Linked DNA regions of Saccharomyces cerevisiae S288C. The protein of the gene in region 1 purifies or fractionates together with the protein of each later gene. This does not show direct contact. Each region holds a gene or a part of one and is shown on either strand. Other genes may lie near its edges.

Region 1 (4,836 bases):
ACCTCAGCTATAATAACCTGTTTAATGGTGTCAAGATCTAAGCTTTTAGCTTCGTTAGGGTCAATGTAAACATGTCCCTTAGCATTCACCTCAGTAATCATCTTTGTGATTTCTCTTTCTTTGATAGCTTCAAATTCACGTTTCTTCTTTTCAATTAAGCGACGGTGAGCCTCTTCTTCCAATTTAGCTTCAATAGCAGCTTTTTCTTCCAAAATACGCTGTTGTCTGACCTCAGCATCCTGTTCAGCATGTAGGGCAGCATGTTCCATATGTTTTTGCTTTTGCTCTTGAGATCTCTTGACACGTTCGTCAACAATCTTGGAAATCTTTTCAAGGTCATCCTTGTTCTTCTTAATTAAAGTTTCACGGGCAATTCTAACCTTTTCCATGTATGAAGCATTGTTGAAACTGTCAACATCGTGTAGGACATTGGATAATTCAAGCAACTTGTTGTGGATGTAAGAATTGCGGATAATAACAGGATCAGATTCTTCTTCCTTTTCTTCACCGTCTTCAGTTTCTTGTGGCCCAAGAGCTTCGTCAGTTTCCTCCTTTTCTTCTTGGACTTCTGGCTCTGTGTTTTCTTCTTCAGAGACTTCTTTAGAAGCAGTTGATGCGAAAATGTCAAATGGATCTTTAGCGAATGTAACCTTAGCAGATTCATGATCGATGGTAATTGAAACATAATCTTCCACAGCAGCTTGTAACAGCGATTTTTCGATGTCCCAAGCAGATAAGTCTAACGGAGCAGGTAGGGTAGCGAGCTTGTATAATTCGGACTGGGAGACAGTAGTGAATTTTTGAGAGGCAGCAACAAAAACCCTTCTCATAATGACGTCTCTTAAAGGTGCGATGTATTGGCTGAAGTAGGTTTTAGAAGACAATTTGACTAATAAATTTTCCAGCTGTTGTTTCACTGTGTCGACATCAAAGTTAACTTCAATGATATCGTACAATTCTTTCAATTCCTCGTCAACTTTACCATAAATGGATTCGTCTTCAATAATGGATTGCAACATTTCCTTTCTAGTTGGCTTGGCGTCCAAGTTTAATAAACGGTACATACGTAAATGAGGATCGTAGCCAATAGATGGAATTTCGTCTAGTTGGGTAGAAATAGCGGATAGGAAAATTGTAGAAGAATATGTTTTGAATTCTTCTTCCGTGGCTCTTGGATTGGTAGAATATAACTTATAAAACTTCTTCCAGGCAGTAGTGTGCAACAATGGATCACCGGAAACAAAGAAGACCTTTACGAGATTCTCGTAGTAATTAGCCAAAGTAGATGGTTTAGGAGCACGTTTGGATATTTTCATTAAGTGGAAAACATCCTCAATGGATCTATAAGCCTCGTGCCACAATTCCAACTTGACAGAAACATCGACTTGTTGGAAACGTTGATCTAAATAACGTTGCAAGGTATCAGCATCGCTCAAGTCAACTAAATTGTTTCCTGATTTACTTTGTTGGTAGTTAGCAGCATCTAAATGTTGACGTAACATTTCAGCTAATCTCTTGAATTCGTTTTTACGCTGATACTTCAAACAGAAATGCATAGTTTTTTTAACGACACCAGAATAAGTAATTTCCAACAAAGCGTTGTTTCTCAATAAATCTAAGACTGCACGATATGATTCCCAAGTAAATCTTAACCATGAAGTAATGGCTTCATCATTGAAACCAGCCACAGATTGATCTGACTCGTAAACAGAAATCAGCAAATTTTCTGGGGTAACACCACCTTCCAAATCATCATCGATTTCTTGCTTTTGAAGTTCGTCAGCTCTAGTTTGTTCAGAAGCGATTTTAGATTCGACTAAATCAATGAATTTACGTGCAACGGCACCGACAGAAACCAAACCTTCGGTAGATCCTTGAATTAATTTTTTGTACTGGTGCAAACCGTCTTTTAGCAGCTTACCTTTCTTTAGTTCAACACCAATTTCCAAGAATTTAAACACGACTGGCTCAACAGTTGAAGGTGTAGCCCAACGGATTCTTCTGGCAGTTATGAAATCATGCAAAGATTGTAAAGCAGCTTGTTTTTCGCCAACAGAAATAAGTTCATCGGCTCTCTTAATGGCATTTTCAGGACGGAATGGTGGGGGGGCCATCTTGATGTTTCCTGGGCGTTTGTATGGTTTATTTTGGAACTCTCTCTATAGTTGTAAGTATATCTACTTTCGATTTAGTTCACCAAGAAAAATTTTTCACCTGGCAAAGCTTCTCGGGCAAAGCGACTGAAAAATTATCATCTTTACCCGGTGGGTGATAATTATGACAGGCAGATTCCAATGACAGAATAAAAGGAAAGGATGCCTTGGTTTTGATAATTTTATAAAATTTATCACTAAAATATATACCATAGAGGAAAGAACTTGTTCACTAGATCCTTTCTGATTGGAAGGGATAAAGAATAAAAATACAAGGACATGAAAAATTTGAAATAATTATGCGGATTGGGTCATCAACTCAACAAGCTCGTTCACGGGATCTTCATCGTGCCTTGCGGTTTCAATGTTGGTCAAGGTCTTTTTAATACCGACATTGAAGTTAGGACAGCTCCTTGATAATTCATTAATAACTTTAACTCTACCAGCATCGTCAAGAAAGTTTGATTCTATCATGACGTTGTTCAATTCATCTAAATTGGTCATATTTGGAACTGCTATCTCATTGTCGAAGCAACTCAAGATATCCATTTGTTGAAGTACCGAATAAGCTGATGTAGTAGTCATGATCAATAAACGACGGTCTTGTGGGGGTTTACGCTTCAATGCAACCTTTAGCATTTGTAAAATGTTATTAGAGAATCTTGGACCAATTGGTACCCAATCAACTAGAGTCTCTAACGAATCAATAACAAGAATGTTTAGTGGAGATTTATACGCATCTCTGAAAGTGTTATCAATATAGGCAATTTTTGCGCTTTCTGACATGCCTGACAACTCGTTGGGAGAAATTAACCTGATGAATGGGAATCCAGATTTTAAAGCAATTTCAGCGGCTAAAGCTGTTTTACCGGACCCTGCAGGGCCGTGGATTAATAGAGATACTAACCTGGATTTATCACTCTCGCGAACTTGGCGGACGTAACGGGCTCCGTTCTTCAATATTGAGTTAACTCGTTCGGAATAAAGCATCATTCCACCTTCCACACATGTTTTCAAATCTTCTTCACTAATCCCAAAAGCGGGAGTAACATCGTTGAGTGCATTTAAAAAGTCTTCTCTTGTTACTTTAAGTTTTGCTATATCTTTAGTGTTAAGTTTTGTGGCACCTTTCCCGATGTTGACGGTTTTGTTGATTGCAAAAGAACTTGCACTCTTCACTAAACCCTCAATCTCAGCACCAGAGAAGTTTTTTGTTAACGCAGCTAACTCAGCTAAGTTAACATCGTCGCTCATCATATTATTTTCCCTCATTTTCTTCGTCTGAATGTCGAAAATTTGGAGTCTTCCTTTTTCATCGGGTAAATGAATTTCAACTTGGACTTCAAATCTACCTGGACGCAAAAGAGCACTGTCTATTAAATCTTTACGATTGGTCATACCAATAACCAAAATATTATTCAATTGATCAACACCATCCATTTTAGCTAACAATTGATTAACTACATTGTCCCCTACACCGGTACCATCACCTCTTGAACCTCTCTGCTTGAAAACAGAATCCAGCTCATCGAAAATAATAATATGTAAGGAAGATTCCTCACCCTTGGCCCTATATTCTGCTTCTGCATCCTTAAATAAATTACGAATGTTTTCTTCTGAAGAACCAACGTACTTACTCAAAATTTCTGGACCATTGACGATTTTGGGCTCTTTGGCATTCAGCATTGTACCAATCTTTCTTGCAATTAAGGTCTTACCAGTACCTGGAGGACCGTACAATAGCAAACCTTTAACATGAGAAATACCCAGTTTTTCTATAACTGAAGGAGGAAAGATTCGACTTGCAAACGCTCTTCTGAAAATTTTAGTAAACTCTTTATCCAAACCACCGACACCCAAATCTTCAAACTTGAAATCCGGTCTGATCACAGCATTTGATCTTGGTCTTAATGAATTTGATGATTTCAAATTAACTAAACCATCTCTTCCTTTGAAAAAATTAATTTGTGTTTGTTTTGTCAAAATTCCCTTTGTCTCTATCCCAGTTGCAACAGCGGAGGTTGGTTCAATATCACCCAAATCGATTGCTTGGACATTTCTAATTTTTAAGTCAAAGAAATGGCCTTGGAACTCCATGATAAGGTACTGGGTGGGAGAAAATATTTGAGATTCGTAGCAACGAACAAATTGTTTGGCTAACTCATCTTGATCGAATACCGTGCTTACCGCCTTACCTCTAGCTCTGAATGAGATATCTATATCTATTGAACCAAGATACGATTGCTTACCGGAATACTTGAATAAATCAAATGCTTTTGCTTGCACGTCTTGATTTAGGGACCAACCACCCCAGGTACGCTGGTTACCGTTAAATCCAATGGTTCCCGGTGGAATGTCGTTGGAGTGTCTAGTTGTGAAAACAAATAAATTATCGATAATAATATAAATGTTATTAGGGAAATCATTTGGTGAGACAGCAGCTACGTTTGCGAGTGCATAGGAGTTATTTGGACAGTTTGACACCTTTAAATGGCGTGTACGGGTATCCATGTTTGTCATATCTGGTGGAGTATGATTTGCAGCAGCTTTTCCAAAACCAGGTATCTTGAACATACTCAATTTATAAAGGCTGAATATACGGTACTATTTGCTCTTATCTTTGAGAGAAACAACGGTAGTACTTAAAGGCTACGAATAAGCCAATTTCATGAATCTCGAAATT
Region 2 (4,218 bases), on another chromosome or scaffold:
CCGCTCTTTTGGATGCCTCTGCTTCAAGCCGCTCACACTCCAGAAAAAACTCTTTGTCTCTGTTGTAAGTGTTGTACACGAGAATTAGCACACTATTAGCATAAAAGACACTTGGCATCTTTACTTACTTGGGCAAGTAAGTCACGTACTTTTTTTTTTTTTTCCGGAGCATTCATTGTCATTCTATCTGCACTTTCCCGCACTTACATTCAATAACCTCGGATCGGGTCTCTTCTACGACAGAAACTTTTTGATATATACATATTTATGTAATATAAATACTGAGAAAGTAAAAAAATTTAAAATATAAAATAATAAAAAATTTACTATTACTATAATTGATTAATGTAATCTTTCTTTGTTCAACCGTGCTGTTTAGCCTCCTTCTCGAGAGACACGCGTTTACCGTCGCTGTCACTACATCCACAATCGTAGTCCTCCAGGATGGTAGCACAGTCATATATGTCTTTCTTTAGGTATTCGTTCACCTTGTTGTGAATGTGGCATCCCCACATTGCGGCAGCCGTCCTGCTAGATGTCTGTACGGGATACTTCTCAATCAACTTTACAAAGTGATATGAACATTCCCCGCATGGATAGAGTTCTGCATACAACCCAATAAACGTGTGCAGTTTCTCTCTTTCTTCAGGAGTAGGCTCGTCCGGAAAACGGGCCAGCAGGGTATGGAAGTACTTCCACGACGCCCTGCCCACTTCCTTCTTCACCTTGTCATCGCCCATCAATGGCATAATGGTTTGCTTCTCGATCTCTTTCAACCGAGCGTCGTTCTTCTCAGCAGCCGCCCCTTGCACTTCATCTATACCAGACTTCGCCTTGATTAGGCCCGGCGTAGCGATGGATAGTTCATTAGACGAGAAAAACATCCACAGGCCTATGATTCCTAATGCTGCAACTATTCTGATGGCATGGCTTCTTTTGACTATCTGTTTCATCCCTTCGTTCCTTGCACAATCTGTCCAGACTTTCCTCTTTACAAATCACCAGCCTTCCCGTCTTCTTGTCTTCATCACCCACGTTTATTGTTTAATGATAAAGCCTTTTGTCCTTTATTTTTGGTTCCTTTTCCCGCTTCGTTTACCCGGTGGTTAACCTTTCTCTTCCATCTTGTAATATATAATAACAAAATGCATCACCATACTTACGCACCCCATATACATGACCTAAGGGCAGCTTTAGACACAACAGCTCCCCAGAAAAAATGTCCAAAAGAAACACTCCACCGCTCAGATCATCAGGGATAAACACTATTCAAATAAATGCTGCTAGAGAAATGCACGCTCAAACGGTGCGCGCTCGAAGAATGCCCATGCCAACTAGCGGCATCACTACACCCTCTGTGCAACCAACTGCAGCCCCAGCAACACCACCTCGACATATTTGCAATAACCCAAACAATCCGCAGTGTCTCCACTGTGGGTCTGTTATCATTCCATCTCCAAGGGCCACGTTACCCTTGGAGGACAACCCCTCCATCTCCATCAACGACTGGACCATCTCCTCCAGAAAGAAGCCCATTTTGAACTCGCAGGAATTAGACATCTGGGAAAACGAAAAACTCAAAGGTTTGACTTTGCCAGAGATGATTTTTGGTAACAACTACATCAGGATCGAAAATTCAAAACAGCATTGGTCCATAGAGTTCAATGCCCTGGATGCTTTAAAGGAGGTTCAACTCCAGGATTCAGGTATTCGTGTTGCGTACTCAAACGACTGGATAAATTCTAAAAAAAGACAAAATTCAACTAATGGTGCGCAACGGTTCACTAACGATGTGAACGACGATTCCTTAAATATCATACACAAGTACGACTGGACCTACACTACGCGGTATAAGGGCACAGAGAGCTCACCTGAGTCGAAATTCCGACTGGATAACGATCAAAAGCTGCCCCTTGACAAACTGGCCGTACACGATAAAATCCTATTCTATGACGACATGATTCTTTTCGAAGACGAATTGGCAGACAATGGCATATCAATCCTTAACGTCAAAATAAGAGTTATGAACGAAAGGTTACTGCTGCTGAGCCGGTTCTTTTTAAGGGTGGACGATGTTCTGGTGAGGGTCTACGACACCAGGATTTACGTGGAGTTTGACGAAAACGTAGTGATCAGAGAATCCAAGGAATTTGAAGGTAAATATCAGGATGTACTTGCTAAGCACCGGCTATCCCAATCTCACGACCCAAAAGCTGCCTTGAGAGATAGTAATTGGGTAGCACAGAACACGCCGATGATCAAAAGACAATGTGAAATAATTCAGTTCTAACAATCAAATATACAAAACAATACGTACAAATACATACACGTCACATATACATAAGCTCCGGATACATCATACAAGAAATGATCTTAAAATCATGCTCTTACCCGTTCTGTAAATAGTGAAAAATTTTCATCGCGAAGTATGAACGAAAAAAAAAAAAGAAAATAGATGAACTTTTAGCATTTAATTAGTGGCAAACGCCTACCCCTCCTTCCCACTTTGCTGACTTACAAAGACACCACTACATTAAAGAGTATCTCGTGTGTTCTTCTTTTTTTTCCAAAAAAAAAAACTCCTATTATTTGCATAAACACACGTTCACTGGTACAAGATGTCTATTAATATTTGTAGAGATAATCATGATCCATTTTACCGTTACAAAATGCCTCCCATCCAAGCCAAGGTGGAAGGTAGAGGTAACGGTATCAAGACTGCCGTTTTGAACGTCGCTGACATCTCTCACGCGCTAAATAGACCTGCTCCATATATTGTCAAGTATTTTGGTTTCGAATTAGGTGCTCAAACTTCCATCTCTGTTGACAAAGATCGTTATTTAGTTAATGGTGTTCACGAACCTGCCAAATTGCAAGACGTATTGGATGGCTTTATTAACAAGTTTGTTCTCTGTGGAAGCTGTAAAAATCCAGAAACGGAGATCATCATTACCAAAGATAATGATTTGGTTCGAGACTGTAAAGCCTGTGGTAAGAGAACTCCAATGGACTTGAGACATAAACTATCATCCTTCATTTTGAAAAACCCACCTGACTCCGTTTCTGGTTCCAAGAAGAAGAAGAAAGCAGCTACCGCTTCGGCCAATGTTCGTGGTGGTGGGTTGTCCATTAGTGATATTGCTCAAGGTAAGTCTCAGAATGCACCTTCAGATGGCACCGGCTCATCCACTCCACAACATCATGACGAAGACGAAGATGAATTATCTCGTCAAATCAAGGCGGCTGCCTCTACCTTAGAAGATATCGAGGTCAAAGATGACGAATGGGCGGTTGATATGTCTGAAGAAGCCATTAGAGCTCGTGCCAAGGAACTAGAAGTGAACTCTGAGCTCACTCAACTGGATGAATATGGTGAATGGATTTTGGAGCAGGCTGGTGAAGATAAGGAGAACTTACCATCAGATGTGGAGCTTTATAAGAAGGCTGCAGAACTAGACGTCTTGAATGATCCAAAAATTGGTTGTGTCTTGGCGCAATGTCTATTCGATGAGGATATCGTAAACGAAATCGCTGAACATAATGCATTTTTCACTAAAATTTTAGTCACTCCAGAATACGAAAAGAACTTTATGGGTGGTATTGAAAGATTTTTAGGTTTAGAACATAAGGATCTAATCCCACTATTACCAAAAATTTTGGTACAACTATACAATAATGATATCATCTCGGAAGAAGAAATCATGAGATTTGGTACCAAATCATCCAAGAAATTTGTACCTAAGGAGGTATCCAAAAAGGTTCGTAGGGCTGCTAAGCCATTCATTACGTGGTTAGAAACCGCTGAAAGTGACGATGATGAAGAAGACGACGAATAGCTTAGGAGGGGGCAAAAGACTTATGTGTAAATTATTATATGACATGGCGTAAGATAAGGATTATGTTCTGTTGTTTTTGAGCTCGTTGATGTATAGATATGTAAATATTTATAAATATAATATTTCTTCCAAGTGCGACATACTTGGTACTGGCAAAAAACAAAGATGAGACTTTTAAAGCCACTGATTGATTGATTAATTATTAAGTAAAAAAAAAAAAATAAAATGTCGGTGTAATTTGGCTCCACGATCGCATGCGTATACATAACATGAGATTACCGAAGATTTTTCTGAAAGGTAATGCATTATATTATAATCATTAATAGAAGTAGAGCCTAAAGCCTGTTGAAAACTTGTACAATAGAGGAAAAAAAAAGGGTCA

What was found. Proteins that work in one complex are often made in the same cells at the same time.
Region 2: the proteins of RPG1 (region 1) and TIF5 purify together in Saccharomyces cerevisiae (affinity purification with mass spectrometry; 7 studies listed by BioGRID, with this or other methods). This does not show direct contact.

What each region holds. Positions count from the first base shown.
Region 1 is NC_001134.8:396,164-400,999, forward strand, and holds the start of RPG1 (translation initiation factor eIF3 core subunit a), read right to left. Parts: upstream 2,115-4,836; coding exon 1-2,114. Other genes in the region: AAA family ATPase SEC18, read right to left, coding at 2,451-4,727.
Region 2 is NC_001148.4:646,086-650,303, forward strand, and holds TIF5 (translation initiation factor eIF5), read left to right. Parts: upstream 1-2,618; coding exon 2,619-3,836; downstream 3,837-4,218. Other genes in the region: SPO24 (Spo24p), read left to right, coding at 1-68; ERV2 (flavin-linked sulfhydryl oxidase), read right to left, coding at 363-953; IRC16 (Irc16p), read left to right, coding at 751-1,110; TIP41 (Tip41p), read left to right, coding at 1,220-2,290. UniProt on the Saccharomyces cerevisiae protein: Catalyzes the hydrolysis of GTP bound to the 40S ribosomal initiation complex (40S.mRNA.Met-tRNA[F].eIF-2.GTP) with the subsequent joining of a 60S ribosomal subunit resulting in the release of eIF-2 and the guanine nucleotide.